2 linked regions of the Xenopus tropicalis genome follow. The protein of the gene in region 1 purifies or fractionates together with the protein of each later gene. This does not show direct contact. Links are inferred from orthologs where the notes say so. Each region holds a gene or a part of one and is shown on either strand. Other genes may lie near its edges.

Region 1 (6,355 bases):
TATCTGCCAGTACCACTGATTCAGGGGGGGGGGATCCCACAACTTCCCAGCCCCCCTGTAACTCCCCTTCCTTGTACCTATCTAATGTATCTGCCAGTACCACTGATTCAGGGGGGGGGGGTCCCACAACTTCCCAGCCCCCCTGTAACTCCCCTTCCTTGTACCTATCTAATGTATCTGCCAGTACCACTGATTCGGGGGGGGGATCCCACAACTTCCCAGCCCCCCTGTAACCCCCTTCCTTGTACCTATCTAATGTATCTGCCAGTACCACTGATTCAGGGGGGGGGGATCCCACAACTTCCCAGCCCCCCTGTAACTCCCCTTCCTTGTACCTATCTAATGTATCTGCCAGTACCACTGATTCAGGGGGGGATCCCACAACTTCCCAGCCCCCCTGTAACTCCCCTTCCTTGTACCTATCTAATGTATCTGCCAGTACCACTGATTCAGGGGGGGGATCCCACAACTTCCCAGCCCCCCCTGTAACTCCCCTTCCTTGTACCTATCTAATGTATCTGCCAGTACCACTGATTCAGGGGGGGGATCCCACAACTTCCCAGCCCCCCCTGTAACTCCCCTTCCTTGTACCTATCTAATGTATCTGCCAGTACCACTGATTCAGGGGGGGGATCCCACAACTTCCCAGCCCCCCTGTAACTCCCCTTCCTTGTACCTATCTAATGTATCTGCCAGTACCACTGATTCAGGGGGGGGATCCCACAACTTCCCAGCCCCCTGTAACTCCCTTCCTTGTACCTATCTAATGTATCTGCCAGTACCACTGATTCAGGGGGGGGATCCCACAACTTCCCAGCCCCCCCCTGTAACTCCCCTTCCTTGTACCTATCTAATGTATCTGCCAGTACCACTGATTCGGGGGGGATCCCACAACTTCCCAGCCCCCCCTGTAACTCCCCTTCCTTGTACCTATCTAATGTATCTGCCAGTACCACTGATTCAGGGGGGGGGATCCCACAACTTCCCAGCCCCCCTGTAACTCCCCTTCCTTGTACCTATCTAATGTATCTGCCAGTACCACTGATTCAGGGAGGGGGGGGGGGGGGCACAACTTCCCAGCTCCCTGGCTGTGTGCCAGTGCTGGGGGTACATGGCTGTTCAGAAGGATCTTGTGCCCATTGCAGCACTGTGATATCCCCGGGGCCATTAGTTCCGTGAAGCATTGGGGTCCCCTCTGTTAGTGCTGGGCGGTATACCGGTAAAAACCGATCACCGGTGTTTTTTTTTAAACCGATATGTATTTTCTACATACCCCCATACCGGTGTGCTTGAATACTTCCGGGTGCGCACGTGACGTCAGTGCGCACGTGACGTCAGTGCGCACGTGACGTCAGCGCGCACGTGACGTCAGCGCGCACGTGACGTCAGCGCGCACGTGACGTCAGCGCGCACGTGACGTCAGCGCGCACGTGACGTCAGCGCGCACGTGACGTCAGCGCGCACACTCTACAAAAGCGCCATCGCATTCAGAGTCGGATACCAATGTGAGCTGGTGGGGGTGCCTGGCAAGTAATTATATTTTATGTGAAGGGGATGGGGGGGTGTTATTTATGTGAAGGGGATGGGGGGGTTATACTTATGTGAAGGGGATGGGGTTGTGTTTGGGGGGGTTGTGGTGGGGTGGGGGGTTATATTTATGTGAAGGGGATGGGGGGCTGTTTGGAGTGGGGTGGGGTGGGGGGGGTGTGCGGATGGGGGTGTGTGTGCGGATGGGGGGTGTTTGGGGTGGGGGGGGTGTGTGCGGATGGGGGGTGTTTGGGGTGGGTTGGGGGGAGTGTGCGGATGGGGGGGTGTTTGGGGTGGGTTGGGGGGGGAGTGTGCGGATGGGGGGGTGTTTGGGGTGGGTTGGGGGGAGTGTGGCGGATGGGGGGGTGTTTGGGGTGGGGTTGGGGGGTGTGTGCGGATGGGGGGGTGTTTGGGGTGGGGGGGGTGCGTGCGGATGGGGGGGTGTTTGGGGTGGGGACGTGCGTGCGGATGGGGGGGTGGGGGGGCTGCGTGCGGATGGGGGGGTGGTGGGGGGTGCGGGTGGCGGGTGTTTGGGGTGGTCACCTAATCATGCATGGGGGAAAAAAAATACCGTCAAATACCGTGATACCGATATAATTTTGAAAAATACCGTGATATAAATTTTTGGTCATACCGCCCAGCACTACCCTCTGTGCATGTAAGCTGTTGGGCCGGGGCCGGTATCGGTTCATGGAAAGGAGAAGGAAGCAAAATAAGATTTTGGCCAGTGGCTGTAACTTCGGGCGTTGTCCCTAAATTGGGAATTACATCATGTGGATTCCTGACGTCTGCTCCAAATGTTCTCCTTGTACTTGACATGAAGAATGTCCCACTTGGGCAAGGGTTTCGGGAGTGTCTGTCACGCGGTGGGATTTCCTGGCTGCCCCCCCGTGTTACTGGGCTTGTTACACTGCATGGAGACATAAGCTGCCCATACCAACACACCAAGAAAAACTACCTTTTGCAGGGAGCTGCCATTGTACCAGCTTTTTGTCCATTGCTGTACCAAAGCATGCTGGGAGATGTGGGGTGAGCAGCCATTGCTGTACCAAAGCATGCTGGGAGATGTGGGGTGAGCAGCCATTGCTGTACCAAAGCATGCTGGGAGATGTGGGGTGAGCAGCCATTGCTGTACCAAAGCATGCTGGGAGATGTGGGGTGAGCAGCCATTGCTGTACCAATATGTCAATATGACCTGCTGTGCAGTATTGCATCCCCAGCGGCGCCCCCTAGTGGCTTAGTTATGAATGAGCGCATCAGCGGCCCCCACCCTGTGTATAATATATATGATGTTACTCACTCTAATCGCTTGTTCTGTTTGGCAGGGGACGTGGCAGTGAAAATCCTGAAGGTGACCAATCCAACGCCAGAGCAGCTCCAGGCATTCAGGAATGAAGTTGCTGTACTTAGGTGAGTCCTGGACGATCTGCCCAAGAGCTAACCATCTGATTGGCTCTTTCTACCTTACTGAGTGTAGCTTGGCTGGGCACCGACAACTCTCCCTGACTTTGCCACTTGCATGCTGAGCTGGTTAGCCAGGTACTGGCCCAATAATCCTATCATACTGCCGGCCTACAGAAACCTGCTATGCACGCATGTGCTACTGCCCAATTACCAAAAAGATATCAGTTGGGTAGGTCCTTCCGAGGGCCCCATTCAGGGGCCAATAAGCTGTTAATTAGGTTTACGTCTGTATGCCAGACCCCATTGCTCCATAGCAGAACAACAGGCGCTGCTGCCTCACTGCAACTCCCATAACCCCATTTCTCTCCGTATTATTATCCTGTCCCAAAGGAAAACGCGGCACGTTAACATTCTGCTTTTCATGGGCTACATGACCAAGGAGAATCTGGCCATCGTCACGCAATGGTGTGAGGGGAGCAGCCTGTACAAACATCTCCATGTCCTCGAGACCAAGTTCCAGATGTTCCAGCTCATCGACATCGCCAGGCAAACGGCACAAGGGATGGAGTAAGTACTGCCCTGTGGGGGGCACCCCTCTACTTATTGGGGGGACTAGTGAATGCTTTCTGGCTGTGAGTTTGTTATACTCGGCCATTCATGTTCAGCATCTTTGGGTGATCCCTTCCCTCTATGGGGTCCTGTATGTGTCCTGCTGGGACCTGCTGTGACTCACTAGTATAAATCTGCCTTCCTGGCCTCTCTCTGCCTGGCTGTCTGCCTTCCTGGCCTCTCTCTGCCTGTCTGTCTCTGCCTTCCTGGCCTCTCTCTGCCTGTCTGTCTCTGCCTTCCATGGCCTCTCTCTGCCTGGCTGTCTGCCTTCCTGGCCTCTCTCTGCCTGTCTGTCTCTGCCTTCCTGGCCTCTCTCTGCCTGTCTGTCTCTGCCTTCCATGGCCTCTCTCTGCCTGTCTGTCTCTGCCTTCCTGGCCTCTCTCTGCCTGTCTGTCTCTGCCTTCCTGGCCTCTCTCTGCCTGTCTGTCTCTGCCTTCCATGGCCTCTCTCTGCCTGTCTGTCTCTGCCTTCCATGGCCTCTCTCTGCCTGTCTGTCTCTGCCTTCCTGGCCTCTCTCTGCCTGTCTGTCTCTGCCTTCCTGGCCTCTCTCTGCCTGTCTGTCTCTGCCTTCCTGGCCCCTCTCTCTGCCGGTCTGTCTCTGCCTTCCTGCCCTCTCTCTGCCGGTCTGTCTCTGCCTTCCTGGCCTCTCTCTGCCGGTCTGTCTCTGCCTTCCTGGCCTCTCTCTGCCGGTCTGTCTCTGCCTTCCTGGCCTCTCTCTGCCGGTCTGTCTCTGCCTTCCTGGCCTCTCTCTGCCGGTCTGTCTCTGCCTTCCTGGCCTCTCTCTGCCGGTCTGTCTCTGCCTTCCTGGCCTCTCTCTGCCGGTCTGTCTCTGCCTTCCTGGCCTCTCTCTGCCGGTCTGTCTCTGCCTTCCTGGCCTCTCTCTCCTTGCCCAGTTAACCTGCTGTAGCTTAGAACTGAAAATTCAATGGAAAATGGCAAAATAATGGTTGTTTTAGAATTGTGCAACTTGGGAAACTCTAGGCTCGTTACAGGCAGTGTAATTACCGGCAGTGGGATAGCGCTCGTTACAGGCAGTGTAATTACCGGCAGAATCTCTCCTTACAGCATTTGTCTCATTGTCTCTCTGCTTGTCTTTCAGTTACCTCCATGCAAAGAATATTATCCACCGGGACATGAAATCCAACAGTATCCTTTCTGCCCTCTGTGCCAGGCTGAGCCCCAGGCCCCCCCCCTGCCTGTGCCCTGCACCCTACCCACCTACCCACAGTTGTTTCATTTGTTGCTAAAGTGTGTGTGTGTATATCTGTATATTGGGAGCGGTATTGTGTGTATATACTATATACTGTATAATGTAGTGGGGGGTCCCTAAGCGCAGGTAACTGACAGCAGCACAGAGCATGTGCTGGGAATCGGCAGAAAAGAAAATGGGGGGCTACTTGGGGCATCATCTGGGGCATAGATCTCCCCAGCTAAAGGGGGGTGGGGGAACATTGGCTGCTGTTGGTGGGAATAGTTGCAGTTGGTCACCTTTAACATGTAATCACATTTGAATTAATCCTGCGGGCCCCCCTTATAGATATTTTATCAGGGAGCAGGTAATTCTTGGGTGCTGTGGGGCAGGATGGGGGAGCAGTTGTTTGGTGCCTGGGGGGCAGTTACTTTCTGCTTATGTACTTGGGTACCATGATATCCCGCTCGGAGCCAGTAATGACTCCTGTGACTGGGCATTGGTCACTGTGCAGCATGTGACCTTGTCAGAGCTCAGTTGTGGGCCTTGATTCGCTGGACAGATATCTTTCTCCATGAGGGGTTAACCGTGAAAATCGGAGACTTTGGATTGGCCACGGTAAAGAGCAGGTGGAGCGGTTCCCAGCAGGTGGAGCAACCGACAGGCTCCATACTGTGGATGGTAAGGATGGGGCTCTGTAATACAGGGCTACTTGTGGGCAACTTGTAGGGACTGCCCGGGTACAGCTCATATGGGGGCACTGGGAGGGGCACTGGGAGGGGCTTCTGTTTTACCTGGAGCATTTAGAGAGTGGCGGTTCATTCTTTGTATCTGGCCTATGGGAGAGAGGGGGCTGAGCTGTGTCTGCCTCTGATTGGATATAGTTGCCCTGTGATGTGGCCCTTACAGGGGCAGAACAGATATTGGGCCCATTTCTACCCAATAAACACAGGATTATTTGTTCCATTTGTGTCACTGGGTTTCTGCATCTACTTTTAGGACTGAGCTTTTAGGTCACATTCATAATATGGGGCGGGGAATTGCTGGCCACGCCCCCAAGCAGATGGGCTGTCTCTCCTTTTACTTAGGGGCTGTGACGAATCAGAGGCTGCCTTTCCTTCTTGGGGGGCACAAGGTTTAAGGCACCCCCACCTGTGGATGCCATAGTTACTGTATGTTCCACTGCATTAACCACTAAATGCCCAAGGTTTGTAGTTAAACTGCCCCCTGTCTGCCCCACAGGCCCCAGAAGTGATCCGCATGCAGGACAATAACCCCTTCAGCTTCCAGTCGGACGTCTATTCCTATGGGATCGTGCTGTTTGAGCTTATGACCGGGGAGCTGCCCTACTCCCACATTAGGGACAGGGACCAGGTGAGTGACACCTACACTGTGCGCATCAAGGACTACTTGCCCTTTAATTGACTATTATAGTGCATACGGTAATAATCTCAGGCAATTTGCATTTGGCCTTTATTTTGTATTTATTGTGATTTTAGGACTTTCAGCAGCTCTCAAATTTGGAATTTTAGCAGCTGTCTGGTTGATAGGGTCAGATTTCCCCTAGCAACCAGGCAGTGATGTGACTGGGAGATGAATAAGAATAGGACTGAATGTAAAGAAAAG
Region 2 (6,355 bases), on another chromosome or scaffold:
AGTTCATATGCAGGTTTACCTCTCCATAAGATGTGATCTGTTTTGCCAACTCAACTTCAGTGGCTCCGCCTCCAGGCACAAGGCGCTTGTCCTATAATGAACGAGAAACACAAATAAACATGGTTTGGTCCATACTGAGTACTGTTTGTGGGCTGCAAGTGCGGAGGAAACATCACTGACCCTTGTGAGGATTTTGAAAGTATTCACGGCGTCATCTACTGCTCGTTCCACATCGTCCATGAGATTGTCTGTAGAGCCACGGATCACAACCGTAGCAATGGCGCCGTCTTCCTTTTCTAAGGGAAGAGCAATGGAGAGAAATCAGGAAAATTCGAAAATGTGAAAGGTAACATGAATAAAACATTAACTGCACTGCTGCCTTTAAAGGGAAAGTTTGTTTCCATAATAAAGATACACCTTAATTTAACCAGAAAGGACAAGGACTCCCACTGAATACAGTAAGGATTCTGCACACAGATTAGGCACCTCCCTCCAAACCCAGACTGTAAAGGTGGCCATACACGTAAAGATCCATTCGCTTGGCAAGGTCACCAAGCGAGCGGATCTTCTTCAGATATCCCCACCTACGGGTGGGCAATATCAGGGAAAATGTAGGCTAATTCGATCGTTTGGCCCTGGGGCCAATGGGGCAGACAGTTCGGGGATCGCATCAACGAGCCGATGTGGTCTCCGATCCAAAGAAATCTTTTAACCTGCCTGATCAATATCTGCCCAATTTTAGGCCAGATATCAGTCGGGCATGCCCCTTGTTCCTGCCCCTACACAGGCCAATAAGCTGCTGAATCAGTCCAAGGGACCGATATCGGCAGCTACAATTGGCCCGTGTATGGCCACCTTTACACACTAGCTGCACTCCCATTTCTTGTCTGTGAGAAGGAAAGGGGTGACCTGTGTTAGAGCCAATAGAAAGCAAGGGAAACATTAAATAACATACCGTGCTTGAACACAACAACCTGTGTATCCCCAACTTCTGACAAGTAAACACTGTCACAGCGCCCCATTTCCTCTGCTGTAGGAGGGGTCTGTAAGAGAAAAACGTGTTTGTAGAGGATTAAATATTTTTATGGTTAGAGAACAACCTTAATAACCAAAGACTGGGAAACCTAGCCCTAAAATAAATATATACACCTATAAAAGTCTGGTTCGCATTAATGATGTACAGGTCGACAAATATCTGTGCTCCAACCCTAACCCATACCTGATCCAACTGCTCTAAGGCCTAATTATTCGACTGCACTGTAATATTTTCTGGGGTGATAACTGGCAAAGATTACCAGATATTTCTATTTACACACAGCTATGAGTACATACATGTCTCTACCATGTTGCCACACATGCTTCCACATTCATGTCAGTTGCATGAAGGGCACTGGGTATTTCAGCAGCTGTATATGCAATACTTACCAGCCTGGGAAGGGCAGTTCCACACACAGTTTTGCACAGTCTTCTAAGATCCCATTTGGAGTTTAACCTAAACGAATAGAAAATGCATCTATAAGACTGCTAATATAGCTAATAAACATCAACTCTGCCTGGTAGCCAACCTCATATTATACTAATCAGACTGGGACCAGTCACACAGTGCTAAAGTTTTACTGTATCAGATACAAATAGAGGGGTGCTACTCTATGTTAGAGACACAAATCCTTCACTGATTATTTTATACTATTTAGGGTTACTGTATATACTCGAGTATAAGTCGATCCGAATATAAGCCGAGGTACCTAATTTTACCTAAGAAAACTGGAAAAACCTATTGACTCGAGTATAAGCCATGGGTGGGAAATACAGCAGCTACTGCTAAGTTTCAATAATCAAAATAAATACCAATAAAATTACATTAAATGAGGCATCAGTGGGGTATATGATTTTCAATATTTATTTCAAAGAAAAACAGTACACTAGCTCTCTAAGTGGAGAAGAGGGACAACTACAACAATATGGTATCAACAATGATACCTTAAGAGTATTACATCCCCTTAGCTCAATCAGCAACCAAGCTAAAACACAGTTAAAATCCTTCAAAACTATATATAGTTTATATAGAATATAAAGTGCAATGTCTAGTGCAGAATGGGACAGGTGAGGATGGTAGATAAATTTGAGAGAGGCCAGGGCACTGGAGGGTCTGGTTGTGGGTGGTTTAATTTGCACACAAAAGGAAAAGAAGGGTGCCAGTCTGGAGGGACCCATGACACCCGACCCAAGTATAAGCCGAGGATGACTTTCAGCACATTTTGGGTGCTGAAAAACTAGGCTTATACTCAAGTATATACAGTACTTTATATAAACATAATAGTATCTGTACTACTTTGCCACTAAGGGAGGTGTGTAGAGAAACTACCATAATAGAAGATGCAGTTTCCTGCCTGGAAAGTCTCCAGAGAACCCTGACTGACTGGCCAACCTACCCGGCGGCCATATAAATCTGGACTAAGGGATCTTATGGCAGGGACATAATAGGGACACAGCAGACAAAATGGTGTTTGATGGTAATCTATAGAGGCGCAATGTCTTATCGGGCAAAACACAGCACTTACCTTACTACCATGAGGTTGTACTTGTTTGCGTAATGGAGAGCCATGTCAGCAACTTTGCCCCCTGTCACAAGAACAGTGGCCCCTGCTTCTGCGATTGCCTTTACTTGCTCTTCCATGAGATTCTCTTCGCCTTTGCTGAAGTTCATCAGTTCCTGCGCGCTGTTTATCAGCACGGTGCCCTATTAAAACATACCAGCAATTTCACTCGAGATTTCTTCCATTAAATAATCAAACCATTTCCATTACCCATACAGCCTTGCTCTAGGGTCCCTGGCGAGGCAAGAAAGCTGCCACCTTCAATCTGTTACTCTCCAGTTATTGTTGAGCTACAACTCCCAGAGTTCAAAATTGAACCCTGAAGTCTATACATATTACTAAATGCCTTTTAACCTTACTCTGAAGGTGTGGCTATAATTCTGGAGGTCCACGAAAAATGCCCTTTATGCTACAACCAGATCTGGCTATAAACTTGTCTTAATGATGTCTAATATATGTTGTAGATAAAAAAAAAACCTTTAATATTTTATACAACAGCAGACTTCCCATGACGTGCAAAAACAAAAAGAAGCCAGAAATGGATACATTTATGACCCGCTCTATAAATGGAGTACTACTAGCACTGTAGGTTGCATGATCTATGGCAGCAAGGGGAAATAATCCTCGCCGAATAGCATCTGATTTAGCTATGATATGGTTTTAATGGAGAGAATCTGGTAGAATCAGGGTTGTCCCACCCAGAGATAAAGCCAATATGTTGCACCGCCTCACATACCTTAGTTTCAGTGATCATGCCGTCGAATGGACAGGAATAGATTGCGATTTTGGCATCTTTCACAGAAGAAATATTGCCTTCTGCTTCCTTTTTGAAAACCATGCCGTGCAAGACAGACGAGGCACAGATACCTGAGCCCTGCAAAAGTCACAGTAAACCCCAGGATTACTTACAGAAGATACTTTGTTTGATTTCAGCAACTAGAGTGCAACCTCGACTTTGTATTCCAGGGTCGTAGGGGTTAATGGGATGCAAAAGCCAGGGAGGTATATTTAAAAATTAATACGATCTGTAAAAATTGCCCCTTTATTGGAGCTCCCTATAGATCCTCTCAGGTCCCTGTCTGTGTTTCAAATGAGGGGTGGGCGTGTCCTAATGGTCCCTGCCAGAAGCACAGTGGGAGGGGCATAGCCAATCCCAGCCCTAAAGTCACACAAGCAGACAGGCTTCAGTTCCCTATCAGGTAAGCCTAGCTGCTGATTGGTTCCAGTGCTGGGTGTTGCCGGCCCTCCTGTACAGCTTGGGAAAGGAGGCAGCAGGAAATGGCACAGATGGGTGGGGCTAGTAGCCTTTTGGGAGAAATTTTTTTTTTAAAGCCCATTCCTTCTATATTTAGATGAGTGCAAATCATTGGCACAATCCTGTTTTTCACACAATATGTCCCCTTTAAAAATCAGGTGTCAAATATAGAGAACTCTAAAACCAAGGAATTCTAAGGGAGTCACCCCTAGGTTGTAGATGTGTCTCACTTACCAAAATCTTGCACACTCTGATGTTATCAACATTAAAATGGCCAGACTCGGGCAGGATGGAGACTAAAAGAAGAACGGAGCTCATTACAATAACAAAGGGTATATGGGCAGTCACAGACAGTAAATCCCTGGGACATATACTTACCACATGCCTGGGCAATGAGCTTAGAAAGGAAGAGCTCGTTGCCATACTGCTTGCTCATGATGGAAGTCTGAAGAAGGGACGCAACTTCATCAATGTCACGTAAGTTCTTGGCAGAGCTGCACACCAGGTCGGGGAGGATTTCCAAGGCTTTCTTACAGGCCTTCTCATAGCCTTCGATCACCTTTAGAATCACAACACAGTAAATGTAACATTTTTCTGCCAGCTCTCATATCCACCCATTAAACTTAACTGAGTTGAAAGTATATCCTACCTCGGATACAGACAGTCCCATTCGCAGAAGCTCTTCTGCCAGCTCAAGTAAAGCGCCAGCAAAGACCAGAACAAAATTAGTGCCGTCTCCAACTTCCTGCTCTTGCATGTGGGAAGCCATGACAACCATTTTGGCAGCCGGATGCTGGACCTGCAGGTAACAACACTGAGTTATCAATCACTTCCAACCCCCAATGCTCAATGTATCTGATCAAGGAGACTGGTAGCCAACCAATGAGATGGCTTCTTTCCCATGCTGATAGTAACATAAATGTGCTTTTTACCCACCTCTAGCTCCCGTATAATGGTGGCAGCATCATTTGTAACAAAAAGCTTCTCCAAATGATTGATAACCATCTTGTTCATTCCTAAATGATACAAAAAGAAACAACATTATTACAGACAGCCAAACAGTCTACAGGGCGGTGTAGCAAAGAGTTCAAGAAACGAAATCCCAGAACCTTTTAGTCGAAGGAACTTGCCGATATACATTCATTGAACCTTTTCACTATGTGTAAATGTAATTGCTATGGAAAGCAGTGCGTGTCTGGCTGCTTATATTCTCTGCTTTGCTGGTTCTGACTCATGAAATAATGTAGTAGGCCTGCCGATTTACAGGCCCACAGGAGAACTAAAATCTTCTACAATGGCTTGGGAGCAAGAACTGGAGAAATAAACATACACGACTGCACTTACATATCTGTTATAGCTCACAACCACTGAAAGTGCTTAATTCTTGTAAAGTGAAGCACTGACTGAAATAACATTTTCTTACTTTGTGCAAAAAGCATTTCTTGAGTCAGTATTCCCGCAACAGACAAAAAGAAAATACCCATGAGACAATTTACCATTCGGCCCATACGCTGTGCGAGTAGTCTGAGCGAGCTCTTTACAGGCCTGGATATTCCGGAACACTGCTTCTTCCAATCCAGAATAGTGCTGCGAGAGAAATAAGAAAGCATGCAGCTCACTTAGTATAGCCACCAACAAATATTTATTTATTTATATAGCGCCAACATATGCCAATGCGCTGTACAGAGATATATATATATAGTAGAAAGTGAAGATGTCCCGCACTCACAGGTCTTAGGTTAAATAAAAGGAGTTTATTCAATCCACGCCTTTTATTTAAAGAGCAAGTAAAGTCGATTACCATTGCACAACTTAGCAAAACTTAGTTTACATCCTGTGCATTCTAACACTGCAATGTTCTAATTTAAGTCCCCTGTAAGGAAATATCTACTTTAAAATCAACCATGTACCTCCACTTCTTTGTATGGCACTGCTCTCCCAGCCTCCTCCCAAGCATCGCTGTCCTGGACAGTGTCTGAAACGAAGCATGCGCAGTATGCGCTCCTGCACACAGCATGAAGGGTCACGGGTCATAATCACGGGGTCAGTGGGTGGATGCGATGCTGGAGCATGCGCATTTTGACACTCGTCGTGAAGCCAGAAGCAGGGGGAATTAAAGATGGCGGCGCGTACCAGCAGAGTGAGTGAGGATGCATAAAAGCGATTTTACAACAAACGGTACATATTTTGCTGGTTTTGATTTAGCGTCCTACTCTGTCTGGGGTCTGTATAAGTGCACAATAAAGGATTTTAATCTGCTTGCCTTGCTCTTTAATCTAAGACCTGTGAGTGCGGGACATCTTCACTTGCTACTATTCCTTAATCTGTTGGGACTGCACCCAGGCATCGCTACTCTTTCTGCGATATGAGTGCCTGTCTACAAGCCAAAGAGAGATATATATATATCTTTCCAATCAGTCCCTGCCCCAGTGATCTTACAATCTAAGGTCCCTATCACATTCCCATCAGTCCCTGTCCCAGTGAGCTTACAATCTAAGGTCCC

Evidence for each region. The genes of interacting proteins can lie anywhere in the genome.
Region 2: the proteins of raf1 (region 1) and cct8 purify together in Homo sapiens (affinity purification with mass spectrometry; 4 studies listed by BioGRID and IntAct, with this or other methods). This does not show direct contact. The link is inferred for Xenopus tropicalis from reciprocal best matches to the Homo sapiens genes RAF1 and CCT8.

The regions. Positions count from the first base shown.
Region 1 is NC_030680.2:153,464,402-153,470,756, forward strand, and holds part of raf1 (RAF proto-oncogene serine/threonine-protein kinase), read left to right. Parts: intron 1-2,852; coding exon 2,853-2,937; intron 2,938-3,321; coding exon 3,322-3,498; intron 3,499-4,639; coding exon 4,640-4,686; intron 4,687-5,291; coding exon 5,292-5,410; intron 5,411-5,971; coding exon 5,972-6,103; intron 6,104-6,355. UniProt on the Homo sapiens protein: Serine/threonine-protein kinase that acts as a regulatory link between the membrane-associated Ras GTPases and the MAPK/ERK cascade, and this critical regulatory link functions as a switch determining cell fate decisions including proliferation, differentiation, apoptosis, survival and oncogenic transformation.
Region 2 is NC_030678.2:16,667,177-16,673,531, reverse strand, and holds part of cct8 (T-complex protein 1 subunit theta), read right to left. Parts: intron 5,440-6,355; coding exon 5,349-5,439; intron 4,869-5,348; coding exon 4,789-4,868; intron 4,652-4,788; coding exon 4,502-4,651; intron 4,412-4,501; coding exon 4,231-4,411; intron 4,149-4,230; coding exon 4,087-4,148; intron 3,472-4,086; coding exon 3,334-3,471; intron 2,741-3,333; coding exon 2,562-2,740; intron 1,493-2,561; coding exon 1,426-1,492; intron 1,044-1,425; coding exon 956-1,043; intron 297-955; coding exon 181-296; intron 92-180; coding exon 20-91; intron 1-19. UniProt on the Homo sapiens protein: Component of the chaperonin-containing T-complex (TRiC), a molecular chaperone complex that assists the folding of actin, tubulin and other proteins upon ATP hydrolysis.